4 linked regions of the Rhinolophus ferrumequinum genome follow. The protein of the gene in region 4 interacts with the protein of the main gene of each other region in a pairwise test. Links are inferred from orthologs where the notes say so. Each region holds a gene or a part of one and is shown on either strand. Other genes may lie near its edges. The genes, in order: CABP5, SALL2, NHLRC2 and CEP76.

Region 1 (7,410 bases), on a different chromosome or scaffold from region 4:
CAGTACCAGCTGAAGGATCAGGGAAAACTTGCCCTGTGACAGCACTAGGACAGCTCTCCTGCAGGAGAGTGGGAAATCTCACATTTAATCTTCCTTTGAGATCTCTTCTGATCCTTCAAAATCTAGCATGCGCTTCTCTGGTGAAAAGTGGACATCCATTTAAAGGTGGATCTCATATTTTTGAATCTCATTTCTTTTTTTGAAATTTCTCACTCGTGCTCTACCTTAGTCAGAGTCCTGGGTAACAAGTGATGGGAGCAGCGTGTATCAAGCCTTATGTGCAGCAGGCACTGCTAATAAGCACATCACTTGTGTACACTTATTTACTCCTCACAAAAATACTGAACAGCCCCATTTTACAGATGGGGAAATAGAGCCCCAGGGAGGTCGGGTAACAAACTGGTGCCGGGTCTCACGGCTCCTAGGAGTTGGGAGCTGGGATTTGAACCCCAGTCTGGTTCCAGAATCCACTCCCTGACTCGGCTGTTCTGCCTCTCAGCCCTCATATTAATAACAGCTATCGCAGCTGGCATGTCTTAAGCACTTATGCACCAGGGACGGTCCCAAGCTCTTTATTGCCTATTTATTAGGTTGGCGCAAAAGTCATTGCTGTTTAAAAGGTTAGAAACAATTGCAAAAACAGCAATGACTTTTGCACCAACCTACACAACAACCCATCGCTTAGCCCCACTGTGGAAACAGGCCAGAGGTACGGGAGCAGGGGCACGTTGACGGGAGGACTGCGGTCCTATCATTCCCCCCCCCCCCAGGTGGACAGTGAGAAGGGGATCTCCCTTCGCTTTCCTCGGTTTATTCGCATCCGTGAGGACAAGAAGCCGGAGGAGGCCACCACCAGTGCCCAGGTGCGGCCCTCGGAAGCGGGGGAGGGCTCACCCAGGGGCAGCTTGCATGGCCGGACCCGCTCCCTGGAGAGGTGGATTGGCATGGAGCGGTGGGGTGGGCAGCCCCGGGATTCTGACTCCCCCCTCCCCTCTCAGGTGGCCTATCTTGTACAGGAAGCAAAGTCAGATTCAGAAGCAGCACAGTGCAGACTCCGACTCCGACCCGGAGGGTTTTTCTACTAGGCCCCGCCCTCCCGGGGGACTCAAGAGGGCGCCGCCAAGGCTAAGCACATCCGGTGTGCGGTCACGTGTGTGTGTGTGTGTGTGTGTGTGTGTGTGTGTGTGTGTGGTTCGTTTCAGCGGGGGCCTGGGATTCATCTGGTTATGTTTTTCAATAAATAATTATTGATCACCTGCTCAGCGTCAAGGGTCCGTGCGGGCTCTGGGCTCCTCTCTCATAGCTCCCACTTTGGTAGCGTGTGGCAGTGTGCCAGGAACTGCTGAAAGCAGCGCTTTCCAACAGAACTTTCTGCAGTGATGGAATGTTCCACCTCCGCTCTGTGCAGCGTGACAGCCACGAGCCCCTGGGGCTGGCAAGTATGTGAAATGTGGCCGGTGACTGAGAACCCGCTATTCCATTTATTTTTAGTTAAATTTCTCTTCAGTAGCCCCATGTGTGGTGGCTGTTGGATGGTGGCAGTCTCAACTTCGTATGTACATGCATTCATGTAACCTCCCCACGACCTAACCAGATAGGCACTGTCACAGCCCAGGACGGCAGGGGCTCACCCCGGCCGCAGCTGGGGGTGCCAGCGCCAGGGGTCTGACGCAGCAGTCTGGCTCCAGCCCCACAGCTGTCGGGTTCAGGCTCCATGCTCTTGGGAGACAGCGCAGCGACTTGTGTGAGACTCCCAGCTCTGCCCCCCACCAACTGGTGGCGAGGCCTGACCTCAGAATCCCCAGAAGTGTTCCGGACCTGCCCCTGAGGGGCAGGCAGTGGCCGATGTGTCTTGTTCATCCTTATATTCCCCAGCCCCTAGCGCGGTGCCTGTCATGTGGTTGGTACTATTTTTCCCGATCAAAAAGGAGACTTGGTGGTGGCAGCCCTTCCCTTCTTCCTGCCCCGACTATGGATATGATGGTTGGAGCTGGGGCTGCCAGCTTGTGATCATGAGAACCAAGCCTGGAGAGTCACAGACAAAGTAGCCCTGACAAACCTTTAACCAGTGAACCAAGGGCAGCAGTTGGCTAACTGGGCTTGTCATGGGGGTGGAAGGGAAGGGTGATTATGCCACTGTTAAAATGGCTTGTGTTTCTCAGCTAAAAGCTTTCCTAACTGAAAGAGCTCTGCCTTAGAGGACTGGCAAATTAATGTGCTTCCATATTTATGAAGTTCAAATAATATGTTTAAGGCAAAACAATACTCGTTTGATTAGATGTTAAATATTGCATGTCTGGGAATCCCCGTGGTTCCCTTAGGTGTGGAACTGGGTCTCCTGATGAAAGCTGGGCCTGGGACACGCTCTTCCCACAGCCCTGCAGGGCCCCTGCAAACACACCTCCCCAAGCAGCCATGGCTACCATGTCCCCTCTGCCAGGGCGGGGCAAGGACGTCCTCATTCACAAAGGACCCTCATGACAGCCCCATGTGGGTATTTTTGTTATCCCATTTACCAGATGAAGCACAGGAATATAAGTCACTGCCTAGGAAATGGAGGACCAGAGTCTGAGCACAGCGGTCTGCAGAAGGCCCTACCTTTTGCCACTAACTATAGTGACTTGAGATCCTCGTGGGCCCCTGCAAGGATGTGATACCTTATCTCCAGGCAGGGAGGTGACACAGGAAGGCCTGGGAGTGAAAGGTCACGCTGATGGCTGGAGTACACGGATTCTGCAGAGATGACCCTGGTGTTGCCGGGAGCACAGACTATCCCCTTGGTGAAATCCTTTTCTTTATAACGATTGTCGAAAGCCATCAAGGGAAATGATGCTTGGACCTGGCTCCGGGCAAAGTACGCAAGAAGGAGGTTTGCAGGAGCAATAATTCATAATTGCATATGAATCAAAGTGCATAAGTTTGATTTGTCGCATTACTCGTGTTCATTTTAATCATTTGAGAAAGAGTTACTGCCTGGTTTCCTCCCCACTATAAAGTGACTCCTTTGAAATTAGTATAAAGGAGGTACTGTACTTTGAGCCATGCAAATATTACCAGACTTTTCCCTTTATGTGTGTATGGACTCCTGGTTTCCTGTCCTATGTAATTTGTTATTATTTATTTTGATTTTCAAATGTGGTCCCTGATATGGCCAGTGGCACTTCAAGTTGACCTCTGTGTCCTTCTGACATGTCCCCATCGCTCTTTGAGCACGTTTGCTTTATGGCACCACAGGGTGTTCTAGGCTCATCTTACACTTGTCCTGTTCCAGACATGGAACCAGCAGTTCTCCTAGGAGTCTTGGTTCTTTTTCTCCGGAGAATGGTATTTAGAAGTCAAGATCTGGATGCGAGGGGTGCTCATTGTATCAGGGTCTCACAGCTTCTGTGTCCTCTTGGAGAGCTGGACCACGGACGGTCACGTGTCCCTGCACAGGCAGTGACAGCTGTGTTCGTTTTTATCCCTCTCTCTATACCGAAGTCCATGGTGACACACCCGTGCCTCCAGTTCCAGCCCAACACCACAGAGCTCATTCGACTTTGTCCCTTTTATATTCACTCCCTTTTCCAACAGTGACAGCCCTGATGCCCGTTGTCCTTAATATACTCCCCACAGATAAGCAATCTCCCTCCTGCGTTGTCATCGCACCCCTGTGGGGACGCCTTTCTCGCCCTGATCTGGCTTCAGCACCCTATGCATGCTGCCTCCGTGAGTGGGCGTCTTCAGGACAAACCCCCACCCTAGGCGACCACACCTACGTAGGGATGCCCTCCTCACTGAGCTCATGCTGTCACATCCACGGGTTCACCCTCACCTTCCCAGGCCCCCACGGTGAGCCGAGCGGCCCCTCTCTGTGGGACTCCTGCCTCACTCCACCACCGCTTTTTGAAATCGGGCTCCCCAAACTGATGGTCCCCAGTCCCCTCCCCAACCAGCCCCCAGTGTGGACACCCTCATCGCCTCCTTGGGCTCGGATATCACATGACTTCTCACCCTCCCCTACCCCCGCACCCGCATGGACGCCTGTCTTGCTCCTCTCCCTGAAGTAGGAAGAGATGAGCAAGGAAGAACAAATACCACTTCCTTAACCTCCCTGCCGTCTTCCTTCCTGAAGTCAGGTTGTCTCGGAGGTCCCGTGTCCTGCTCCTGGGCACGCGCTCCTGTCTTACGCAAAAGCTCCTGGAGGTCAGGGGCCGTGCCCGCTCCATCTTCACACGCCCAAGGGCCAGCAGAGGCCAGGCTTCGAGCGAGCACTCAACGTGCCCTGGGCTCGAAGCCCCACTTTTGAAACTATCCAATTCCATTCTGGGGATAAAAAAGGTCAGAGCCGGAAACCAGCTCCCCCTCCCGTCCCACTCAAACCAGATGGGGAGGCAGGAAGCGCTCTGATCCCTCTCCAACCCCAGTGGAGATTTCCAACCCAGCTGTCACAGCTCCATGACACGAGCACCAAGGGAGAGGCTGAGAGGCAGGAAGAGTTGGCAAAGAAGTGATAGAGAAGAGAAGGAGGCTGAGTCACCAAGGGGACGGGAAGGAGGGGGGCCAGCTTGAGACCGGTGCCTGGTGAGCTCTGCCCTGCCCCTCCATGCAGTTCCCCGTGGGCCCTGCCTGCATCTTCTTGAGAAAAGGCATCGCTGAGAAACAGAAGGTGAGGTTGGGGACAGTGGGAAGGATGGCGGGCAGGGCAAAGGGAGCTGGGATGTGGGAAAAGAAGGGGCATGACGGGTGCAATGCAACAAGGGGGACAGGTGGGGAGGGCACGAGCTGAGAAGGTAGAATTCCAAGGGACATGGTGAGGACGTGGGTCAGTGAAATGGGTGAGGGTGAAATTGGAAGTCAGGAGCAAAATGGGGGAGGTGAAGGGGAGAAAAAAAGGAAAACTGGGATGACGTCATTATTGACGGGCATCATGATTTGTTTTCTGTGGACACCTATAGTCGTGATGATGATGACACTAGCTGCCACTTATTAAGTCACTGCTCTGTGCCCAGCCCTGTGTAAAGGGTTTGCATTCCTGATGTCATTTAATTGTCAGAACTTGTAAGGGTGGTAATACTTTCATTCCCATTTTACAGATGTGGAAACAGGCTCTGAGTCATGAAGTGACTTGCTTTAAGCTTGTGCAATTAGTAAGTGGCAGAGCCAGTTCTGTTTGATTTCAGTGGGCATGCGTTTAATTGTTAGGCTTTAGATCATCCCCCCCAATAAAATAAAATAAATAAGGGAGGGAGGGGATTTAGGGTGAAGGGAATAATAAGCTAGGGGAAAGGTTCCAAGGATAAAGGCAGATAAGGGGTGAAAGGGACCAGAGGTTGGTGGAATTTCCCAGGTGATGTGCCTTGTAGCCAAGCCTGACCCTTCAGGCATATGCAGGAGTGGGTGGAGGCAACAATAACTGGAAATTCTTGAAGGTTTTAGGCATCGGTCATGCTGGCACCCATCATCCTGGATGCCACTGGACACTGGTCCCTCACAAAGGGATTCTAACTCTTGGCAGAAAGGATGGAGGCGGGTGGGAAAAGTCGTTGGGGTGTAATAGAAAGAATTCTGACCTGGGAGTCCGGAGCCCTGAATTCAAATCCCAGTGTTCCCTGGGCCTGGCTTGCTGTACAGCCTCGGGGGAGCGATTTAACGTCACTTAGGAGCTGTGTGACCTTGGGCAGGTTCCTTAACCTCTCTGTCCCTCAGTTTCCTCTTAAATAAGTTGGGAATGATATGTGGATTGGCCTCACAGAGCGGTTCTGAAATTTAAATGAAATGATTGCGGAGGCTGCCTGGCACCGAGTCAGCATTCTGAACACATTAGCTGTGATTGTGAGTCTCCCTTTCTTCCTCTGGAGATCAGTTCCATGGCCTATAAGACCACTTCCCACACAATGGGATGGATGTCAAGATTCAAAGATGGGAGAGAGGAAATGAGAGGGGTGAGGAAGAGGGAGAGAAGCAAACAGCTGTGAAATGAGAGTCAGGAGATGGAAGGAAGAAGAGATGGGTAGAGGGAAGCAAGAATGAGAGAAGAAACAAGAAGGGGTGAGGAGTAGCTTGGGAAAATGTGGGGACGTGTTGAGATTGGATGTTGGAACCTGACCTTCTCTCCAAATTCTCTCTCCCCTGCATTCCTCTCCAGGAAAGACCACTGGGACAAGATGAGATTGAAGGTAACACTTTCTCCCCCCAAATGTCCCCACTTCGCCATCCACTCACTTGTCTGCTCTCTGTCTCTTTGTGCATTTCAGTGTCAGTCCCCTCAGATGAAAATTGTACTTCGCTCTCTTTTTCCACTTAACTGTGATTTTGTGGAACTCTTTCTCATGGCAGTGTCGGTACCTCCCAAAGTGTTTAGAAGGCATACCCATCCCCAAGTGTCTCAGAGACCCAGGAGCGACACATGAGTTTTAGAATGTTAGTTTTTTCTTTTGATGGTTTCAAAGTTTCCTATAACTTCACCCAAGAATTGGAAGGACTTCCGTGCTATCATTTGGTGGTCTCAGGAATCATTGCTCTTGCTAACATATTTCATTCATACATCGCTCCATTGAAATTTTTGTTTTTCAAAATGTATTCTGCTTTGAAAAGTCTCTAGTCTGTGCCTTGTTGATGGTTTCAAGGGATGCCGCTCTTCCTCACTGACTGTTTCAAGTTCCCCCAAAGTTCTTCCCTCTTCACTTTCAGAGCTCCGGGAGGCATTTCTTGAGTTCGACAAGGACCGAGATGGGTTCATCTCATGTAAGGATTTGGGGAATCTCATGAGGACAATGGGTTACATGCCCACGGAGATGGAACTGACTGAACTTGGCCAGCAGATCCGCATGAACTGTGAGGCCGGTGGGTGGGAGGGATGATTGGGGTTAGGGGATGGCTAAGGGTGGAATTGGGAAGGATCTAGGGTTGAGAATAGAGTTGGAGATAGGGAAGAGGGTCAGAGGGGCTGGAAGTCTAGAAGGAAACAGTTCAGAATATACTAGGGAGGCAGCAGTTGAAGTGGTTAAAAGAGTGACTTTTAAAGATAGATTTGAGTTCAATTCCCAGTTTTCTTATTTACTAATTGTGGTCATTTTGAAAAGTGGAGTTAACCCCCACTCTTGAGTCTCAGTTTCCCCATTTGTCAAGTGAAGATGATATCATACCTTATTTTGTGGGATTATAGAAGGGATAAAGATGATAATACAGGCAAAGGCTTAGCCTCCATAAAAGCTTAGTATTTGTTGATTATCATCACCAATAAGATTCATCAGTGGAGCACAAGATTGGAACTGCATTTGATGCTGGAAATAAACTTAGACTTGGAGCTAATGTTGATGAATAGTGTTGCAAAGAGAATGGATTTTTTTTTAGGTGGTGACCAAAGCTGATTTTGAGATGGGAGCTGGGATACAATTGCTATTGGGTTTGCTTCTGGGCATGTTACTG
Region 2 (7,292 bases), on a different chromosome or scaffold from region 4:
TCCCAGCTGTGGCTGCTGCCACCACTGTCCCCACTTCCTCCTCTGCCCCAGATGCTTCTTCCGAATCACCTCGCACTGATATTGCCTTCTCACCTCCACTCTCTGAACCTCTTCCTACCAGAGAATCTTCATCGGTTACATCTTCGTCTTCTTCCTCGTCCTCTTCCTCCTCTTCAGACAATTCCTCTTCTGGGGATGGCTGGGATGGCTGCTGAGGGAAACTCCCTGCTCCAGAGACTGTAGACTGCTCAGAGCCATTCTCCTGGGCAGCTCCCCCGCCTTCGGGGAATGTGGTACTACCGTTGGGGATTTGGCCCCCCAGGTGCATCCGAACATGCTGCTGCAGAGTAACAGCGTTGGTGAACTTCTTCTGGCAGATGGGGCAGGAGTTCTGAGCCCGGGCAGCTGGGCTGGCCTTGTGGCCCACAAAATGTGCACGCAGATTGCCTCGTGTGGAGAAGGCTCTGCCACACACTTTGCATTTGAAGGGCCGCTCACCTCCATGTTGGCCATAATGCAGGCGCAGTGCTCGAGGACAGCTTAGCACCCGGAGGCAGATGACACACTGGTTAGGTCCGGATGAGGCTGAGGATGAAGCTGCAGGGGCAGAGGTGGTGGGGGCTCCTGAGGCAGTAGAGGCCACTGCCACAGCTCCCTGTCGGTCAATCTTTTCTACCAGTTGCTGTAGCTTTGATGTCTCAGAGGGTGAGGTCCCCAAGGGCTCTAGCACATAGGGGAAGGGGAAGCTCCCAGTGGATTTAAAGTGGTTGGTAAGCAGTGCCCAGCTGGGTAGTGAAGTTACCAGCTTACTTAGCTGCATGCGGGTTGCTGTGCCACTTTCTGCTACCCCGGAGATGGCGGAGGCCTCAGTCCCTGGAGGGGTATTTTCATCAGCTTTACTCTTTGGCTCTACTGCTTTCATGAGCACAAACTTATTGAAAGCAGGGAGCGCAGGAGCTGTGGCTGTGCCTGCACCAGTGGAGAGTAGTGTCAGGCTTTCTGTGGCACTGAGTGCTGTGGTGGAGGCCACCAGAGGCTTGCGTTCCACACCTCCACCTGGCATGGCTGCCTCCTCCTCAGCTTTCTCTGGTGGCACAGACATACCATAAGGCAGGCCGCTGCTGGTGATGACGTAGTCTAGGTGCTCTGGCACCGGGTGAGGATTCATCTGCACGTGTGGGTACTTCTCACGATGACGGTGGAAATGCACTTTGAGGTTGCCGCGGGTGGTAAAGCGGTTGCCACAGACATTACATTTATAGGGCCTCTCACCTGTGTGTGAACGCAGGTGGATCTGCAGGGCACTGTCACTGCCAAATACTTTGGCACAGAAGCGGCATTTGTGTCGTCCACCGGGTTTCTCCAAGGGACCCATCACTTCCCCATAGCCCAGCTCACCACTTCCATTCTTTGGCTTCAGGAGCCCTGGGGAGGCAGCGGCCTCGAGGCCTCGGGCTGCCCCAAGACACTGTGCTGCCAGTAGTCCCGTGGTGCCTGGGAATGCCAGATGAGGCGAGGCAATCAGCTGATCTGTGCTGCCTGGCAGGGCTGGGGAGGGGGCAGGCGTGGGCTTGTGGCTTCGCCCAACCCCTCCAGCAGAAAAAGGGTGCTGTGACCCCAGTGGATGATAAAGGTGGAAGAAAGCCTGCTTGGGTGTTTCTGCCCCTGAGGAGGAGGAGGTGGAGGAGGAAGGTGCCAGTGTCTTGCCAGTTTGGACAGGCTTGATAGGGCTGAAGAGGGGAAGCAGGGGCTTGGTGGAGGAGGCAGTCCCTGTCCCAGGTAACTCTGAGGGACTGGCAGGGGCGCCCACTGTCTGGCCTAAGGATCCAAGCAGCAGTACCTGCCGGCAGATTTGCTCAGTCATCTGCATCTGATGGATCTGCCGCTGCTGCAGCACCCGGAGCTCTTCCAAGATCAGAGGGATGTTCAAGTGGCCGCTGCCTACACCTGGGGGCGGAGGTGGCGGTGGAGGAGGAGGGGGTGCAGGGGTGGATTCTGGAGGTAAGGGGGTTGCTCCCAGCTTGGGACTGGCCAAGATCAGGCCCCCACCTCCCCCAGCTGCTGTACCTGTGGCAGCGACCAGAAAATGCCCCGCAGACTCCTCTCCTCTCCGCTCTGGGCCCCAGGTGGGATCTGTGGGCACCGAGGACCCAGAATCTGGGGGGTTGCTGTGCTCTGCGTCCATGACCTGGGGACTGTTGTGGCCCTCAGGCCGGGGTTCAGAAGAGGTCGAAGAGTTGTTGGGGTTCTCCTGGCCCCCAATTATCACCATTACAGGGGGGTCAGTAGAGCATGCATTCTGGTGGGCGAGGAATTCAGTTGGGTCAGTGAATTGTGCGCAGCATTTGGCACAGACTTGGGGGTGGTCCTCCTCGCTAGCATCACCTGGGGAGAAGACAAGGAGAGAGCGTGGGTGGCGCGGTTGGAATGGGTATACGGAGGCTCTAATTAACAATGAGCCCAGTAACCGCTAGTTGGGGGTGGGGAGATGAGCTCACCATCAGGCCAAGCGGAAGGCTAGAGCTCAGTCCTGACCCTCCTTGATACGAGAACCCCAGCACGGGGGGGAGGGAGCACGCGCAAGCTACTGCCTTCCTCTGCTCTCCCCCGCCCAAACCCGGGCCACAGGCAGGCGCAAGGAAGAGGGCCTATGCAGAGAACCGTGCGTTTGATCCCCTTCACCGAAAGTCCTTCCTCCCCTCCCCCTGCGCGTCCCTTCGGCCCCCACCCCTGCCCGGGCTGGGCCCTACCGCACCTCCAAGCTCCGCCGGCTCCCCGCAGGGACCCCCGAGAAGAGAGCTTCTCAAGGCTTCGTGCGCCATGGTCGTGGGGGAGGTGGAGGGCTGGGTGGAGTGGGAGACAATGGGTTTGGGGATTGGGGGAGGCGGCGGTGGCCGCCGGGGATGCGGCAGCGTCGTACCCAGCGGCCCAGTCTGCAGAGATGGAGATCGGTGGAGGCAGCGGGGGCAGGGAGCCGCGGAGGAGGGGGAGGGGATCGAGGAGGCACAGAGGAGGGAGGAGCCAGAGCGAGAAAGCAGGGAGAGGGGAGATGGGGGAGGAGCTGCTGGGGAGGGGAGTTTGTGCGGAGGAGCTGCTGGGGAGGGAGGCGGGAGGGGAGGGGGATGTTTGGGGCGGGAACCCAGGGCCTAGGAGGGTTTACCGAGGCTCAGTGACAGGTGCTGTGGGGTGTGGTGGGGGTCCATCTTTCCTTGCTCTCTGCCAGCTCCCCCTATCTCCAGATGTCTTTGCCCAGGCCTGCCCAGCCAGGGAGCTCAAGGGGGCAAAGGGGGAAACACAACCCTGCTCAGCAGAGCAAAGCGACAGGCTTCTCCTATTTTTCTTTGGATAAAGGATCCGCTGAGCCTGTAAAACATGCTCTCCAGAGAGGGCGGTCCGATCTCGGAGGAGAGAGCCAGAAGGGAAGCCCCGAACATCCACCCCTCATTAACACCCCCATACACCCCAAGTTTTGTCCTGTCTTCTTCACCTCCATTCCCACCCTAACCTTACACAGACCGCCCCTTCTATCCCCCAAAGAAGTTTCTTCGGGTGGGAGGCTGGAAGGTAGAATTTCCAAGGAAGTCATTTCTGGACTCCACTCTGCAAGTCCCTTTACTCAGGGCCCCTCCTCCTCCAGAATAAGAGCTGAATGCAAGTTACTCCACAGATCACCCACCCCACACATAACTTATAGAGTTCATGCTTATTTAAGGAGCCATCTTCTATTTAGAACCCACTTCTCCACCCTTCTTCCTTCATTGTCCTTCTCTTATGGACACACACTGTCACTATTAAGGACAGTTGGCCTTGGGGAGATGCTAGCCTCCAGAGGCCCACCTAGCTCTAACCTTGGGGGAGGGGAGATCCTCCTGAAACAATGGGGGAAATGCAGCAGGAGCTTCCAGGCAGCCTGTGTCTACAGCTCCTTTCAGCTCCAACCTGGTTTGAATACCTAGACATAACTTAAAACCTGCTGACAGCCACCTCCTATTGAGGCCACCTCCTATTCAGAGACCAGGTACTCTGCATTTCCGTTCTACCTTGAAATGAATCTTAATGGATTTCCCACTTCATAAAAATACTTTCTTTTACTTACAGGAGGTAACCACAAGTCCTTAGTTTGGTGGTTTTCCTGGGCACCAGTAAACCCATGTTGTTCTAATCTCAGTTCTATTCTTGCCTGGCTGGTAAGTTGAGGCATGGTGATCAGTCAGAGCACACTATGCCACCATTGCCCTTTTTGTAAAATGGTAATATTGTAGCTGTGCTATCTTCCCCAGAGAAATATTATAGGGACAAAAACTTGAAAAACTCTTCACAATATTAGTATGTACATATGGGACTTTAAATTTTGGGGGGAGTCCCAAATATAATGGATTAGAAAATTTACATTGTCAGTGGCAAGACAATCAAAATAAACTGAAATACACATATACTAAAATTAGATGTTTGTCATATTGCTTATTAATCTTACTAATTTCTGAGGTAAGATGTTGGCAAGGGTAGGGAGTCTTTTTCGGAGGGAGCTGAAACAAGCCAGTATTAGGAACATCCACTTCACTTTTCAACATAAATTTTGCTATCTTTTTAAATTAAAAACATTTTACTGACTTATGCTTTGAAACTTCAGATAATCATAAGGATCTTAACATTGTGAATGATGACTCTGAAACAGATGAGCTCCAGGCCTGACCCTTACAGTGAGGGCATGGAGGACCTATTGTAATTATGGCAAGTCACAGGTTAGTGCAATGTTGTGGATTTTTACACATACGGAAATATAAGCGTGGAGAAGTTAAGTGACTTTCCCAAGTCCGCACAGTAATTGAGTGAAGGAAGCATTCAGAATTTTGACTCCGGTCCAGTGCTTTCTGAAGCACACCTACACTGTGACTTCCTAATGCTAGAGAAAGGGCCCTGTGTGGTTCCTACCTGTCATTTGCTCTCTGGCCTGAGTAAGGGCGAGGGAATCAGATGGAAGCTTTCTACTGAGCATTTGTTAATTAGCATTGAACATTTGATATCAAGTTGCTGTTTTGTCAAGTCTTCCGACAAGAAAAGAAATCCTTTTCTTTTCATCTTCTCATGGGAAACACTGTCCCCTTTCTTGCTCTTTAATGAAACTTGCTTTCTGATGCGTAATTTGATCTAAGCTCTTCTTTAAGGTAAATTTAGTCCCTGGTGAAAGGTGACGGATCAACAGCCACCTGTAAGAGGAACCCTCTATTTCTCAGCACTTTGCACTCACTGCCTATCCTGAAAAGGGGGGCAGGATTCTTAGGCAGACACAAATGAAGTCAAAAACACTGGAATAAACTAAGCTGGTAATGGTGTCCCTAGATAGCAGATAAGGTGAGGTAAACTATCCTGGGTCACATGCAAAATCTGGGATGGATGTAGGACTAAGACCTGGACATGCTTGTTTAAATTTATAAAGTGCAGAAATGACAAGGGAAAAGGAAACCAGGTGGCTCTTGAAAACCTAGTGGCCCACCAAACTGCTGCTTTAGGTTAGGGAGAGAATGACTGGGGAGAACAAACAGGAAAATAGGGGGATAGTGCCCAGCAGGGTGGTCTAGTCAGACAGTAGTTCTCAAACTTTGCTGCCGATTACAATTACCAGGAAAGCTTTTAAAAATACCGATGGCCAGGCCACACCCCAGATCAATTAATTCAGAATCCTAGAGGGTGAGACCCAGACATCAGTATGTAAAGCTCCTCAGAAGATTCCACTGTCCAGCCAAGGATGAGAACCATAGTATCTATCAGAGTACAGCCCTTCCCATCAAACCTTCCACCCCGCTCCTCACAAGTCTTATCTATGCTCAACCCAGCCAAAATTAGGGCAGAGGCAAAATGAGCTGCTTGCTGCGAAGTCCTCCTGTCAGGCTCCCTCTCTTCTCTGTCTACAGCCACACTTTAGCTCTCTTGTATCCTGCTTCCATGAACAGAATTTGATGATTTACACCTGTCTGTGAGTATAAGGGACTATATTGCATTTCCCAATGTGCATCTTGAGCCACATTTCTAATTGTAAGATGAAAAGCTTTGTTCTACACGGAGTTCAAGCATTTTCCAGCCGTTAAAGAAACAAAACACATTATGTAAACACCTGCCTAAACTTACTGTTAATGTTGGACCAACACTAATTGGTAGTGTCCATAATTATGAATTGATTTTGTAACTGCTGTTGTAGACTACTTCTAAGGGATAATATCCCATATTCTCTTCCACTCCTCTCTCCTAAATACACATACATAGTCCTTTGTCACCCACGGCCTGTGCAATACAGTAGACAAACAGACACAATGATTTGTACATCCAGTGCTAAGTGACAAAAATATATTTGTTTCCAGTATAGGAATATCTACGATCAAACATTAAAAAGTTTGTTTGTTTGTTTTAATGGACATTTTTCTGACATCAAAGGATTCAGAACTTCACATGAAATTCATACTATTTTGGAGCTGGAAGGGACTTGAGAGATCTGACCCTTTCATTGAGTGAGCACAGTGACTGAGAGTGCCAGCTCTGAATCAAAAAGACCTGAGTTAAAGTCCCAGTTCTAGCACTTTATCTTCGTGACCTTGGGAAAGTTTCTTAATCTATCTCAGGCTTGGATTTCTCATCTTTAAAATGGAGATGTGGCCATATAAAGAATGAATGCTAACACATGCTACAACATGGATGAACCTTGAAAACATTATGCTAAGTGAAATAAGCCAGACACAAAAGGACAAATTATTATATGCTTCCATTATATGAGGTACCTAGAATTGATAAATTCATAGAAAATGGTGGTTGCCAGGGGGTGGGGGGAGAGGAATGGGGAGTTATTGTTTAATGAGTATAGAGTTTCAGTTTTGCAAGATGAAAGAGTTCTGGATATGGATGGTGGTGATGGTTGCACAGCATTGTAAATATACTTAAGGCACTGAATTTTACATTTCAAAATAGTTATAATGGTAATTTTTATATATACTTTACCACAATAAAAAGTTTTTTTAAAAATGGAATGGAGGTTATAATAGGAATTTGGGAGGAATAAACAAGAGGCAATACATACAAGGCCTAACATAATACCTGACGAATAGTGAATACTCCACAAGTATTAGCAATGAGTATAATTATTTAAAGGAAAGGCCAAAGCTGAAGCCCTGGAAGAAGAAAGGACTTGCCCAAGGACACATAGCTTCAACGTCCAAGCTAGACTGAAAACCAGATTTTCTGCTTCCTTCTTCGGTGCTCTGTCTACCATGCCTGAGTTACTTCTATCCACTCAGAAGGGTTCT
Region 3 (7,845 bases), on a different chromosome or scaffold from region 4:
GAGGCCTTGGGACAATAACTATCTTTATGCAAATCAAAAGCTCAGCATAAAATAACAGTAGTACAGTATGGTTTTGCAAGGTGCTAGTTATTATTTTCAAATCAAATACTCTTAAATTTCTTTTCAAATAATCTTTTCGCAAAAAAATTTTTAAGACTAACACGTTTGTCCCCGCTAAGTAACTCTCACAAATATGAGCTTCAAAATCCATGTATGCTTGCATTACGTATTTCATAATCATGTGCTACAAACTGACACCATCTGTGTCACTATTTGTTGAAAAGGAAATATTTTTATTTGTTTCAGCTGGAAACTGAGATTTTCTTAGACACTGTGTCACCAAGAAGTGATCAGCTGATACATTTTGTAAGTTCTCAGTTTGTTTCTGATTTGGATAACATCCTTCCTCAAGACTACAAAGAAAGCTTGAATTAGTCTCACTGAAACTACCAGCTGACCCAGGTGATGGACTGCTGAAAGGACCATTACTCGCCCTGCTTTGAGCTAGCAGGAGGTGAGTATATCTCTTGTAATGAGAAGGAATTGTTGAGGTACACAGAAGACCATCAGGACACTCTGAAAATTTTAATAAAGAAAGAAGTATTATAGGATCAAAACACAGACGAAGCTTTAACAGCATTAGCACTATAAATTAACACATAAGTAGAAAGTCATCAGCCCTACTTGAGGCCTTGGGACAATAACTATCTTTATGCAAATCAAAAGCTCAGCATAAAATAACAGTAGTACAGTATGGTTTTGCAAGGTGCTAGTTATTATTTTCAAATCAAATACTCTTAAATTTCTTTTCAAATAATCTTTTCGCAAAAAAAATTTTAAGACTAACACGTTTGTCCCCGCTAAGTAACTCTCACAAATATGAGCTTCAAAATCCATGTATGCTTGCATTACGTATTTCATAATCATGTGCTACAAACTGACACCATCTGTGTCACTATTTGTTGAAAAGGAAATATTTTTATTTGTTTCAGCTGGAAACTGAGATTTTCTTAGACACTGTGTCACCAAGAAGTGATCAGCTGATACATTTTGTAAGTTCTCAGTTTGTTTCTGATTTGGATAACATCCTTCCTCAAGACTACAAAGAAAGCTTGAATTAGTCTCACTGAAACTACCAGCTGACCCAGGTGATGGACTGCTGAAAGGACCATTACTCGCCCTGCTTTGAGCTAGCAGGAGGTGAGTATATCTCTTGTAATGAGAAGGAATTGTTGAGGTACACAGAAGACCATCAGGACACTCTGAAAATTTTAATAAAGAAAGAAGTATTATAGGATCAAAACACAGACGAAGCTTTAACAGCATTAGCACTATAAATTAACACATAAGTAGAAAGTCATCAGCCCTACTTGAGGCCTTGGGACAATAACTATCTTTATGCAAATCAAAAGCTCAGCATAAAATAACAGTAGTACAGTATGGTTTTGCAAGGTGCTAGTTATTATTTTCAAATCAAATACTCTTAAATTTCTTTTCAAATAATCTTTTCGCAAAAAAATTTTTAAGACTAACACGTTTGTCCCCGCTAAGTAACTCTCACAAATATGAGCTTCAAAATCCATGTATGCTTGCATTACGTATTTCATAATCATGTGCTACAAACTGACACCATCTGTGTCACTAGTTCACTATTGCTCAGACAATAAAAAATAAAGAAGACTGGTATATCTCTCACACATATGTTTATCTTACCAAGCAACAGATTTATGACAATTGTACCAAATCAGATTTCATTATTTATTTAACATTCTCACTGTATACAATAACAACAATCTTAATTATAGTTGCCCATACCCTGGATAATTTAGATTCTGTTCTAAGATGTGAAATTCAATTTGATAAACTGGTTAATAATAAGGCTTTAATAATCTGAAAACCATTCCCTATCATACCATTATGATGGAGAAACATTCTGTAAACCATCTTGGCATATCCCCTTGTATTTTCATTTCTAGGTTTATAAAAAAAAATGATCTCCCCCCCCCAAAAAAAAAGATGTTACATTAAATTAGAAGACTTCATTGCTTAAAACTTAACTTAAAACCACTTCCTAGAAGTATTTGTTATAGAACAGAGTTGAATTCAAGATGAGTTCATCTGAGATTCTGTACAAAGGAGTTTCGTCAGGAAAAAAGAAAAATCTCTTTGAGGTGGCTTTATCTATAAAATATTTGACCCTGAGGTGGTCACCATGGGACTCCAACTTCCACTTCTGGTATTCAAACCACTTAAAAGCAAATTACTAGCATTTGATGAGGCTACCACTCGCTATACTTGTATAAGAAAGGCTAATGCCAAATTTTAAAAAGAGTTCTTTTGCATCTTCATGCAGAACTTTAAAATGATAACTAGAGGTTAATAATGAAATGTCTTGTGAATCATATTTAACATGAAAGCCATACTGAGTATTATTTTTATTTTACTGAATTTTAATTCTTTGAGATTTAAAAATCTATGTATGGTATATATAACTTTAAAATATACAAATCATCATAAACCATTCTCCGTATACTCCAAGTTGGATTTTCTACATATTAAACATGACATTAATTATATATTTTAAAAGATAAAAACTTAGCATTACTTCAGTTACCAACTGACACATTCTTACTAGAATCTTCATAACCTAAGAGTCCCAGTTCCTCTTTCTGTACATTAGCATGATGAATCCACATAACTATATTTAGAAGACTGGACTATACTCTTAATTCTCTAAAAGTCTGTTTCATAAAAAATAACAAAATGGGCAAGTTGTTTAACTTTTAAGAAGCCACATCTATAAAATGTCAATACCACCTACCTTGTGCGATCGTCGTGACAGTCAAGTCAACAGAGTGAATGTATCTAGGATAGTATGTGCCCAATTAACATTTATGAAAAATAATTGAGATGTTTAGGGACTTTCATGAAACAAAATGCATTTAAACTATTTTTAAGTTTGCAACATTCTTTATAATTATACCATCAACTGTTATCTTTTTATCCTTCTTAAGAGTCAATTAATTACCTTGTTTGCCTCTAGGGTCATTTATACTTAACAGTGTCTCATCTCTCTTGGTTTATTGGTGGCCTTGCTTGTGTCACTGGACTGATATGTCTGGCCTAATATAGGCCTATTTAAAGACCACCATCTTTTTTGTAATCTTACCTGTTTCAGAGACTGATGGAGAATCCAAACACTCAAAAACATGCCATCGAGGTGTTTGACCTAGCAATGAGGAAAAAGGCATCTGGCAATTTGGACAGTAGCCATCATAAACTGTGCGTATCTTCGGAGACACTTGTTTGTTTTTGGGAGTCCTACTCTGCTTTCTTGGAGTGGTCTCCTTGCCTTGGGACGGCTGGATACCATCTCCACAACTAGAATTCTGACTAGAAGCTACAGAAGTCTGATTATCTGATGCTCCAAGGCACATTTCAGGGTCCTTTATCTTCTCTTTTGCTTCCACAGTTCTTTTATTTCTGTTTCGTTTGGACTGTTTCTTTCCATCTGTTGCTTTTCCAACAGGTTTTGGAATATTCTCAGAGCAATTATTTGGATGTATTCGTTTTACTTTCCTTTTGGATTTGTATTCCCAGATGTCTTCTTCCAAAAAAGTATCTTCTGACATGGCAAAAATGATTTCTATCATTCAAGAAGCACTAATCTTTATTACATTGAGAGTCTATTTCTTGTTACAAAATTTTTAAATGGAATTTTTTTGCTGAGAAAAAGCTTAACAAAAACCCCACTAACTTCATGGGAATCGAAAACTCTGGTAATGAATATATTGGCAAACTACAAACCTTATAGGTGAGAACACCTGCTGTTTCATTTATACCACAATAAAATTAAGATAACCTACCCCAGGGGTAGCATCTCAGAAGTTTTCTATTTTGGCTACTATTTCATTCAGATACCTCGGCCTCTTCCATGACTCGATTCAAAAAAATAAGAATCAGTAATACTTTGAAAATTAAGTACTGACAATCTCAGAACAAGCTTCGTAAAATTGTTATAAAGCTCCTATTCTCTTTCAACTGGACAACTGCCCAAATAATTCACAGTCCCTGGACAACTGGCTCAGCAGGTGTTCTGAGCAGTAAAATGGCTACCTCAGTTTCTAATTAACACAGTCACTCCACAATCCAAGTGTGTGCTTCTCAATAAACGTAATTGCTCTTCTCCGTGACTCGTTGATATTCAACAACTTCAGTTTCCTGGGTCAGGCCAACATCTTCCTCCAGCAGCAATGAACAAACACTGCACAATAAACAAAATTCAAATGTGTGAAGTCATGCCTGCACTGAGGCCCCACTCCTAAGTCCAGACACCACAGAGGCGGTCTGCCTGGAGGTGGCCAGCCCTTTCTCCACCAGCCTCAAAACCAAGGTTCACCTGCCCGACGCCTCCCAAGGTCTCTGCCTTCTCTTTGGACACAGGAGACAGCGAGGACAGAGTGGGGTCTTACCCGTCCAGGGCAGGGAGCGAATGAGCTGCTAACACAGCCGCTCCGTAAAAGCAATCACAGCCCTGCCCTGCTAAAGGCAGAAGCCCAGCGCTCGGAGAGCCTCGCATCCGCCCACCTGCCAGCAGCACCCCCAGGGAACAGCTCCAGCTGCGTCCGCTCCCCTCAGCGACCCCCCTCCTCCAGCTCTGCTACAAATCTCTTCTCGCCCGCACTTTCAGCACCTGCAGAGCGATGAAATAATGCATTTGTGTATAAGCCAAAGCCATCGGCCAGTCACCCCCAACTTTAAAAAGCCTTTCCCTTAAGGATATCCCTACTCCTTTACCTTTCTTGCCTTGGCGGGAACTGCTTCCCCCGCCAGTGCTGTGTCGAATCGGCTGGTCCCGGTCTAACAGCCAGGCTTTATACAGGCCGAAAAAAACCCACAAAAAAACCCGTGCCCGTTTTTAAGTCCTACGGATTTATTTTTTTGTTCTAAAACCCATTAATTTCCAAAGTGAAAGGTGGGGGGACAGTACTCTTAGAGCTTCTAGAACGCTAACCCCGAGGCCTTTTCGTGTTGAATCTGGCGTTCTGAATGTCCAGGCTCGGCTGTGGCGAGAAGATACAGAAGGGGCGGGGTGGTTTGGGGCGGTAGTTTAATTCCGTGCCCGGGAATTGCGGCGATTTGTAGTATTTTAGCATTTGAATGCATGCTTACGAAAGAAAAAAGTATCGTTAGTGTGGACTGGGCCTGGTGGAGGGAGTACGGTGAAAGTGACGTTTTGAAACCAAAGGACAGTAAACGCTTCTTCTCTTCCCAAACGAGCCTGCCCCGCGGGCCCGGCGGCCGCCTCTGTACTGTCCGGAGAGAACATGGCGGCCCCCGGAACCCGGAGCTGCAGCCTCTCGGGCCTGCTCCCGGCTCAGACCTCGTTGGAGTACGCCCTGCTCGACGCCGTCACCCAGGAGGAGAAGAATAACCTGGTCTACCAGTATCTGCAGAAGGTGGACGGCTGGGAGCAGGACTTACTAGTGCCCGAGTTCCCGGAAGGTGAGGGGCTGGCTTCGGGGTGGGGACCCCTCCCGGAACCTCCCCTTCCTCAGGGACAGTGCCCTCCCCTGAAGCGGTGGGCGAGGCGGGGGTGGGTCGCTGCACCCGGGCTGGCGCTTTGCCCAACTTCAGCGGCGGCTCTGCAATTCCCAGGTGTCCTCCGGAGGGTGGGGACCTGCATTTTCGTCCCTATATCCCGAGTCCCATCCAGGACTTGGGTTAACTAAGTAGACATTCCATGGATGTTTAGTGGCCCCAGTTGGCAATGACTGAAATGTCGACGCCACCCTGTTCTTTCAGTCTGGTTGCTCAACATGGTCATTGTCCTCATCTTTCATCATCCTAGCTGGCATTTATTGATCACTTATTTAGTGATCACTTATGTGGTACACAGTTCTAAACACCGAAGGGCTATTGTTTATCTTATTTAATCCTCTCTACCCATTGAGGAACTCATTATTAGCCCTATTTTACAGTTGAGGAAACTGAGGCCCTGGGAGGGTAAGTCATTTGCCCAGGGCCTAACAACCAATATCTGCCAGAGTCGGATTATAGAGACCCCAGATTGGCCGGTTTCTTCCTTGTGCCACACTTCGCCGTGAATCCATTGTGGCCCATCTCCACGGTTTGAATCCCGGCTGGCTCTGTACGTTTTGGGAACGTGAGGGAACTGATATGCCCGGCAGTGCTATTTGTGAAGCACATCTTGCTATGATAAATGAAACCCTACTTTACCTTCTTTGGTTGGGACTGTCATTGTGTTGCCTGGTGCTGTTGGCATGTCTCCTGGCATGACACTGAAACCACATGTATAGTTAATTGGTTGGATGTGGCAGGGTTCAGTATCTAACGGGAGGTATATGGGAACCTTACCTCTGACAACAGTCTTGTATGTCTTTTCCAAGCCTTTTGCTTCCACCTTGAAAAGTGCTTATTTTTTTCTATTATTAATCCTATCCTGGATTTGAAAGTTTGTGGAATTCCTACAAAAGAATTGGGTGCATGAGTGCTTATCAAGGAAACTTTAAAAGATTGTATATATATGTGCACATTTTTAAAAAACTTTGTGAGAAGTTAGTTATATAGTATACTGTTATAAAAAAGCAGGTCATCAGCTAGGATTTGGGCCAATGTTTTTATTTTCTAGTCTTGTTTGTATTGACAGTGAGTGTATTTTATTACCATGATATTTGACCTCTGTGACTGGTAAATAATGTTACAAAATATTCAGGCTTTGTATTTGACAACGGGAAATTTTCTGCTGGACCTAATTATTGAGGACAGAATACTAGAGATGAGTTTTTTCTTGGTTTCTTTATCAATAAACTGTAATCAAGAAGTCATAAACATAACGCTATCTCAAAAACAGTATGCTTTGTTCATTTCTTAAACACGTTTATGGGAACCAGAGTGGTATAGTGGATAGATTCAGAGAGACCTGAGATTAAATCCCAAGTGATTCCATTTGTTAGCTGCATGATTTTGAGCAAGTTACTTCTCCAAGCCTACTTTGCTCACTTAGAAAAAGGAATGAGTATTTATTTTTCAAGTTTATTATGTGGATTGGAGTTAATATACCTAAAGTTCTTAGTTCAAAGGAGAGCTCCGTAAGTCTTAGCAGCTTTTAAAATTATATTCACTGTAATTATAATTTTAAAACTTATTATTAAACCTGATAAGCGCCTAACACAACAACTGACATATAATAATACTTTCCCTGCCCCCATCTAAGTCGCTGTTGACTATTTACAGAAAATAAATTTAGAAGACAGATTCATAAGTATTTTGTAATTAGGATGTAAAATATACATTAATTAATTTGAAGTTTTATATGATCACTTGACCTGGTATACAATTAACCTGGTATCCCCTTTATTAAAGTGGATAACTAAGAGTTCACTGTACCCTAAAACCTCACTAGGTTGGATTGGCAGAAATGTTAGTTTCATTTGCAGATTTTTTTAGAATTTTGTTATAATTGAGTAATTCCAGTTACTGTTATTAGTCATTAGCTGTTATTAAGCAATTGTTCCACCCAACTCTGGCTTTCAGTTTCTATAAAATATTTCCAAATATCTGTTTCAATGTATAATTAAATATTGTATGTCAACTGTACTTTCAAAAAGGTATAATTGTTTTAGTAGCTACTTTTATTTTCTTGTATCAAACTCATTATGGTTCCTTTCTTAAATTTGTTGAATGAAGATGCTGTACCTTTACTATTAGTTTAACAAAATCTTCATAGTGCATAATTAAAATTGTAAATCATGGTCAAGTGGTTATAAATTGTGATTTGCAAAAGTACAGATTAATGAGATTTTATTTTTCTTTGTAGGGAAG
Region 4 (7,738 bases):
GACATTTTGGGGTAAATTGGGCCAATGTGAATATGGACAAGGTATAGAAAGCTAATATTGTGAAATGTGATATTTTAGCTATGTAAGAAAATGTTCTTAAATGATAAGTGATACATACTTACACATTTGGAGGTGAAGTGTCATGATATCTACAATTTATTTCAAAATATCTCATCTTAAAAAAGAATAAAATGGATTAAAGAACTATACCAATTGACGTGCTGTCAGTTTGTGTTAATGGAAATCCACTGGGTCTTCCACTAGAGTGAAGCTGCATTAGCAGGGGGCATGGTGCTTAAGAGGCAGGTCTCAAGGGCCAGAGTGCCTTGATTAGAAGTTCAGTTACACCAATTATTAATCATGTGACCTTAACTTCTCTGTGCAATGGTTGCCTCATCTATAAAACTACCTACGGAGTATTTGTGAGGATTAAATTAGTACATGTAAATACACATAGTATTCAACTTATAGGTAATAATAAATGGCAACTGTTATCATTAGTTGAAATATATAAATTGTAGTGCTAATATTTTTAGTCCTTTATTCTTTAAGGCAATAACTGAAATTCCATCTTTTATTAATAAAGCCATCTTTCCTGCAGAAATTTCAATATTATTTCTTGAAAGTGTATTTCATTATCACAAGCTAACAACATGGTTAATAAGACAGACAAAAAACAAAATACTTCTTTGTCTTTCAATCCACCACTAAATGGTTTTTCACGCTCCTCTATCACCTGCATGAATGGTTTTTCATGCTCCTCTATCAGCTCTGGCTATGACCTTAAAATGGTGAAAGAAGACTAAGGCCAACAGAGGAGTTGGCCATCAAACAAAGCAACTAGCTGCTCATGATCAACAGCTTTCCCCTTACTCAGCAATTCCACATTATAAATAAACAGTAATCAGTGCAATATAAAATGTGTTCCAATTAATCAAGCCTGATAGTCCAATGAGAATTATGGCACTTTATGGCATGGGAAAAGCCTACACTACAGCATTAGGCAACTCAATCTCTCCAAGCACTACTGATACTACAGTATCGTGGATTCCATAATAATGTGAGAGGATGACTGAAGCTTAGATGAGGTAGCACAAAACACATAGGACTGAGCTCAGTGAAATTCTCTTTTCCCCTTCCCTGGTATTAGTGATGCTTACCCATGTTTGCTACAAAAGCGTATCTGCAGAGTCTATGTCTAATTTAAAACAACTCTACTTTGTAGTAGAATACAATATACGGAGGTCATACATACCTTCAGCATTTATACTGAGTTCTGTTGAATTTTCTTCTGACGTTGCATATGGATTGTTTCCAACCATTGGCACAAGACAATCAGTATAGAAGTAACCAATCTTACACATATTCAGTGTAGAAATAATCAGATCTATTGCAAGTTGGCCAACATTTCCAACGGATACTGCTGGCTGAAATCATTTTAAAGAGTGTTTATTAAGGCATTGGCATTAGCAGCACTTTAAAGTTTGGACAGAAGACAATAATCACAGCACTAGTATTGAATGTTATGTTCAGGCGCATCATAGCTACCCTGTTTTCCTGAAAATAAGACCTAGCCGGACAATCAGCTCTAATGCGTCTTTCAGAGCAAAAATACAGTAGTACCTTGGTTTTCAAACACTGACGAACATTTCGGTTTATGAACGCCGTAAACCCAGAAGCAAATGCTTCAGTTTTTGAACATGCCTTGAAAGTTGAACATGTCACGCAGCTTCCGCTGAGTGCAACATCCTGAGGCCTAGCTGTTGGCTGTTTTCGAACGTTTCAGAACTCCAACGGTCTTCCAGAGCGATCACATTCAAAAACCGAGGTACCGCTGTATGAGATCCGGTACCTCGGATCTCATATCCTATCATATCATATCCTATCATATCATATCTGGTCTTATATTATAGTAAAATAAGGCCAGGTTTTATATCAATTTTTGCTCCAAAAGACACGTTAGAGCTGATTGTCCAGTTAGATCTTATTTTCAGGGAAACATGGTACATATTGACTCTCCTGTAGTTGCAAGCAAGGTACCAGCAGGGACCTCCTCCACCTTTGAGACTACAGATTTAACACTTACTGAACACCTACTATATGTCAATCGTTGCTCTAGGCACTGGGAATGTAAATCAAAAGTTCCTGCCTTTGTAAAGCTTCCATTCTAGGGAGAGTAGTTTACCTGCAGTAAACAAACAAACAAAAAAAAACCCCAGTAAAATATACAGTGTTAAGTGCAGTGGAGAAAAATTAAAGGACTGTCAGTGTGTGTGTATATGTTTGGCTGCAATTTTAAATAGGGTGGTCAAGAAAAGAATTGCTTTATAGACCTGAAAGAGATAAAGGAGGGCAGTGAGGTAGGAACAAAAGTGATGTTGGGGCCTCTTTCTGTTTGCTTTATTAGCGCCTAAATGTTGGAGTGAGCTTATTTTCACACTAAAAACACCACACACACACACACACACACCCCATGACTTCAAATAGTCCAACTGCCAAATCTGTAGCTACAGCCTGGAATACTCATCTAAACTCCAGAGCCTAATGTGTATCTCCACATGATTATGTCACAGGTAACTCACATCCAACATGTACAAAATTAAACTTTTGCCCAAAATTGTCCTCATATTTTGTATTTCAGAAAAGAGAAACAATTATTGAGCCAATTACCTAAACCAGGACACTTTTTCCTTTTCCTTTACCAACCATACCTAACGCACATCTAAATTTTATTGATTCTATTTTTTTTTCCTGGCCTTTGCATACTTTTCTGCGTCCTTCAGAGTGGTCTCCCACTTCTCATTGCTGTCATTGATTGCTGGTTATCCACTGTAATCCCCTTTCCCTTCTCAACGATTTTGCTACTTTCGTTAGATCCTCACTTTCCTGTATCATCTATCTTTTCCTCACTACTGGATTCTTCCCATCAGCATATACACATACTCTAATATCTTTCCTTGTAAAAAACCGTCTCTTGATCCCACACACTCCCCTAGCTACCACCTCACTTCCAGGTGTCCTTCCATAGCCAAAATTCCCCACGGTTGTCCACTAAAACATAAGCAGGAACTTTAGCTCTGAATTAATGAACAAATATATACGTATACACGTCTCCACCTCTTCCCCATTTATTCAACCCACTTTAATATGCTTCCCTCTTCACTGTTCCACTGATAACTTTTTTAAGGTTACCACCAATAATCTTTTAGACATTACTTTCTCTATGAAGCTTTTCTTTTTCATTTTTTTCTCCAGGTAGCTCCTGCAAAGGTACTTTTTCCATTTTGAGATTAATAAATATTTTTCAGGGAGATACTGTGAAATTATGGAAAATTCCCTTCCTCAAACACTATCGCACACTAATTTTGGCATTCATTGATATTTCATGCATTACAATGAAAACGGACCAAAAGTCATTTTTCTATTACCATCATTCTTTTTTGACATATAACACTGTATCACTTTTAGATACATAACATGATTGATATATGTATATACTGTGAAATGATTACCACAATAAGTTTAGTTAATATCCATCACCACAGTTACAATTTCTTATTGTGATAAAAACTTTTAATATCTACTCTCTTAGCAAACTGAAGGTTTGTACCTTTTGACTACTTCACCCATTTCACCCAACCACCCTTCCACTCTACCTCTCCAATTGTTCTCTGTAATCTATGAGTTTGGTGTTTTTTTCTTTCTTTCTATTTTTTTTTTTCTTTCTTTCTATTTTTTTTTTTTTTAAGATTCCACATATGACGCTTTGAACAGAGCCATGTGTCCCTCCCCCAATAAGTCCTAAGGCCTTTCTGTATCTTTTTAAAACTTCTATCCTAGCATATATTGCCTTTATTGATTTACGTGTTTCCTATTAGACTGTAAACTCTTTGAGAACATGGGCCTAGTGTTATTCTAATATCGTCACATCATAGAATGTTTATTGAAACAATGAATTAATATGGACAATTTTAAGAGCGATAGAACCATATGTTAGCTACTGGCAAAAGTTGCCTTGTTACTCTATTGTAATGTTCTGGTTAATGACTGACTTGCTAGCTTAAGAATGACGCTAAAACTAGTTGAAAAAAGATTTTCTAGTATAAAAAGCAAAGAGAACGTCCCGCACCACATATGTACAACGTATCGGTAACATCAAACACATTACGTTGTACAGTCAACAAAGACCACAAACTGGAGACTTAGATACAAGGTTTGGTGATAGCGCCAACAAAGGTTCTATTTGGACCGCCGCCTCCAGCGACAACCTCTCTACATTTTCGGCGCAGGCTTAAAACTCGAAATAGAAACAAGTACTCGCTTTCTCACAGGGCCGGACGAAAAATCCCGAGTTGGGGTGGCGGTACCGCAGGCGCCTCCCGAGAGGTAGCAGCCTCAAGCCAGTTCGCGAAATTGGAGACTCACCATCAGGAGGGTGAAACCCGCGAGATCCGGGACCGACTCTCCGTAGGGAACAAACATGGTCGCACTGCAGTGGGAAGAAGGAGATGAGTGCCGGCCTGGGAAGAACCGGGGCGGCGAGAAAGCGAGAACCACGAGCTCTCAAGGTCTGCACGCTCGAGCCCCTAGAACCCCGCGCGACCCGGGCAGGGCGGGGCCAGGCGGACTGGGTCCTTCGAGCCCTCGGCGCGAGGTCCTGAGAGGCTCGTCCACGTATCTGCCGTTCCAGAAAACAGAAAGGGACCTCGAGGGAGGGAGAAATGGGAGCGGAGAGCGCGCATCCAGAGACACTAGCAAGGCAAGGAGTTTGGCTGAGCTGAGGTCACGAGGTGGGGACCCCGAGGGAAGAGGAGTGGGTGGAGTTGACCAGGCAGAGCGGGGGACAGCTCCGAGGCCTGGTTGTCCGCTGCCGTTTGAAAACGACAGTTGGGCGCCGCCGCAGCCACGTCCCCGCCTCACGCTCAGCGCCGGGCTTGATGCGGCGTCGCGCCCCCGCGGGAGCTGCGCGAGGAAAGTGGTCGCGCCGGCTCTGTGCTCACCCCACACTGACGTTCTGGGGCCGGCTGGGGCACCTGAAGCGAAGGGAATCCGTGTTGAGGCGCCAGCCCCAGCATGTCGCTGCCTCCGGAGAAAGCCTCTGAGCTGAAGCAGCTTATCCACCAGCAGCTGAGCAAGGTGAGGGGCCGCGGGCGCTCTTCCCGCCAGTGGCCCCAAGTGTCCAGCTTTGTGTCCCTTGTCCCGGCCGACTGTGGCACCTGTTTGCTGGGGACTCAAGCAAAGGCTGTGAGACGCAGAGCGTGGGATGTGCAAAGCTTCGGGTTTGAAGCCAGAGGAACTGTCTAGGCTCGATAATGAGAACGAGCTCAGAAAGTGCTAGTAAGAGTCTGAGGTGATAGAACGGCGTTAGTATTATGGGACAGTTGTGAAAATGAAGCGTGTACCAATGACTTCTGGAAGTCATATCGAGTATAAGTTGTGTTTGGAGCAGGTTTATATTCAAAGGTCAGAAATTAGAATTAATTTAAGGGTGGAACTTCAGGTGTCATTGATATTGAACCAAATTGACAATTCTTAAAGAAGTTATGAAAGAATTTAGTAAGGATTTGTAATGAAAGCATTTGTGATACTTCAGAGCTCAAGAAGAACATTGTATCTTTGAGGTGCTCAACTGAATGCAATTAAGCTGAAGTAATAAAACCTACCGTTTATTGTGCACTCGGATGCCAGGCTTTGTACTAAGTGTTTAGCGTCTTTTATCTGAGCCTCACAATAACCTTGACGGCACTATTTTTTCCAGATTCATAAAAGGTAAATAAGTTAACTCAAGATCACATCTAATAAGTTGTAAGGTGAAAGTCATACTTTGATCCCCTCCCCTCGGTCTGTGTTCTTTTGATTATACTATACTCTTTCTCCAAAGATTGTTTTGGTTGAATGTTATTTGTGGGGAAATAGTAACAAAAGTAGTAGATAACCAGTAGAGATTATTTCTAGAATTTGTAGTATAAGTTTTCATTTAAAAAAATTTTTTTTCCTTTTAAAAATCTCGCCTTTATTATCTTTGAATTCTGGTAACAATTTTACATTTATTATTTGTTTGAGAAGCCTTCCCGATTTTAGTGTACTCTCCTATTATTCTTTTCTTTGTCAGTATTTTAGAAAGAAATGAACTAAGTGGCAATATTTGTCTGCTTTGTAATGTGAATTGTAATGTGAGTTTTCTACGTAGATGGATGTCCATGGCAGAATAAGAGAAATCCTTGCTGAGACAATACGGGAAGAATTAGCACCTGATCAACAACAGTTATCAACAGAAGATTTGATCAAAGCTCTTAGACGTCGTGGAATCATTGACGATGTGATGAAAGAACTTAATTTTGTTACTGTGAGTAAGCTTGTAGAGGAGAAAATCTGAGAGTCTAAGCATATTTTGGGGCCTCTTCTTTTAGTAAAACCACTTCAAAATATGGTAGCTTTGCCTAGTAATATCCTTGTTTCAAGTATAAACTAATTCTACAATTGAATGTAGATTCAATGTAGGATTATGTATCAATGAAATTGTACATATATACCATTCTTCTCTCTCTACAGTGACAGAATTTTCTCCTGTTATTCTCTAAGTCTGTAACTTTAAGTATATATATTTTAGTCAAACATAACCTAGTTGTTTTTCACTAATATTCTATAATTTTAAAAATTAGGCTTATTTTTAAAATAAACACTCGGGACAATATTATCTATGATTAAGAAATTATCAATTCCTTTAAGAAAATAATTGTCTGCATAAGAATCTTTAAAGCTTTTCAGACAAATAGGTCAGTAATGGAATGATAGCCTCCCTCTCAGTGTACAAATTAGTAAGTAGGCCTTTTGAAAATGAGGCAATAATGAGAAATTGTGACCTCAATACCTGGGAAATATAATGTAGAATTTGGATGGACTTCATAGTACACCAGGGGATAAGTATTTTAATACAGCCTCGTTTTTTTGGTTTTTGAGGTTTGTAAACCCATTTGGTATAAAAATTGACCTAATAACAGTTTCTGCTGTGTGTGAATATCACTTCCTTATTAAAATCAGTTCATGGTACAATCATAAGCCAAATGTTATATGAGGTTTAGAGAAAGTTTGACCTTGTTTGAGGTATTAAGGATTTTTTTTTAGCATTCTGTGGACATTGCTTGAAGACAGTTTAGTTCCTTAACATTAAACTGTAGGACTGACTAGTTGCATCACCTTTTTTGCAGGCTTTTCATTATTTGAACTGTTTGAGGAAAATAAGGGGCTTTATTCTATCTTCTTTTGGTTTGGTTCTTAGTTCCATTATTGGCATTTCTTAATTATAATTTTTGTTTTCTGATTTGTATTTTTCTGCCTTTCTAGGACAGTGTTGATCAAGAACTTCCTTCCTCTCCAAAACAATCAGTTTGTTTTACTGATAAACAATCAACGTTGTTAAAAAAAAGTATGTGTATTTCTTTTTAACCTTAATTTACTTGTGGATAGTACTGTGAATAGACGTGCTGTAGTGTTTGGTATTTGATAGAAAACACTTCAATTTTTTTTTCCAGAATGAAATACTTATATTTTTGTGACTAATCCAAAAAGCTTCAATTCTGTTTTGCATGATATCAGAAGATTTAATGTATAGCAAAGTGGAAGCAAAAATAGGACCGCCTGTTTCTCATGTTTTAGTAATATATTTTATAAAAATTTTACAACTGTGTTTTTTTAGTGGCTATGTAATTATCTCACAAGTACACTTTGCTGAGTTGAG

The links.
Region 1: the proteins of CEP76 (region 4) and CABP5 interact in binary tests that used the Homo sapiens proteins (3 or more experiments, as listed by UniProt). The link is inferred for Rhinolophus ferrumequinum from reciprocal best matches to the Homo sapiens genes CEP76 and CABP5.
Region 2: the proteins of CEP76 (region 4) and SALL2 interact in binary tests that used the Homo sapiens proteins (3 or more experiments, as listed by UniProt). The two-hybrid records come from large-scale screens. The link is inferred for Rhinolophus ferrumequinum from reciprocal best matches to the Homo sapiens genes CEP76 and SALL2.
Region 3: the proteins of CEP76 (region 4) and NHLRC2 interact in binary tests that used the Homo sapiens proteins (3 or more experiments, as listed by UniProt). The two-hybrid records come from large-scale screens. The link is inferred for Rhinolophus ferrumequinum from reciprocal best matches to the Homo sapiens genes CEP76 and NHLRC2.

What each region holds. Positions count from the first base shown.
Region 1 is NC_046298.1:43,778,902-43,786,311, reverse strand, and holds the start of CABP5 (calcium-binding protein 5), read left to right. Parts: upstream 1-4,394; 5' UTR 4,395-4,585; coding exon 4,586-4,648; intron 4,649-6,127; coding exon 6,128-6,158; intron 6,159-6,672; coding exon 6,673-6,816; intron 6,817-7,410. UniProt on the Homo sapiens protein: Inhibits calcium-dependent inactivation of L-type calcium channel and shifts voltage dependence of activation to more depolarized membrane potentials. Involved in the transmission of light signals.
Region 2 is NC_046289.1:72,328,806-72,336,097, forward strand, and holds the start of SALL2 (sal-like protein 2), read right to left. Parts: upstream 3,019-7,292; 5' UTR 2,823-3,018; coding exon 2,756-2,822; intron 2,386-2,755; coding exon 1-2,385. UniProt on the Homo sapiens protein: Probable transcription factor that plays a role in eye development before, during, and after optic fissure closure.
Region 3 is NC_046299.1:14,139,216-14,147,060, reverse strand, and holds the start of NHLRC2 (NHL repeat-containing protein 2), read left to right. Parts: upstream 1-4,832; 5' UTR 4,833-5,327; coding exon 5,328-5,505; intron 5,506-7,845. Other genes in the region: DCLRE1A (DNA cross-link repair 1A protein), read right to left, coding at 3,170-3,653. UniProt on the Homo sapiens protein: Required for normal embryonic development.
Region 4 is NC_046302.1:5,540,046-5,547,783, forward strand, and holds the start of CEP76 (centrosomal protein of 76 kDa), read left to right. Parts: upstream 1-4,732; 5' UTR 4,733-5,073; coding exon 5,074-5,136; intron 5,137-6,190; coding exon 6,191-6,346; intron 6,347-7,029; exon of another isoform or gene 7,030-7,071; coding exon of another isoform or gene 7,072-7,104; intron 7,105-7,344; coding exon 7,345-7,426; intron 7,427-7,738. Other genes in the region: PSMG2 (proteasome assembly chaperone 2), read right to left, coding at 1,256-1,427, 4,426-4,482. UniProt on the Homo sapiens protein: Centrosomal protein involved in regulation of centriole duplication. Required to limit centriole duplication to once per cell cycle by preventing centriole reduplication.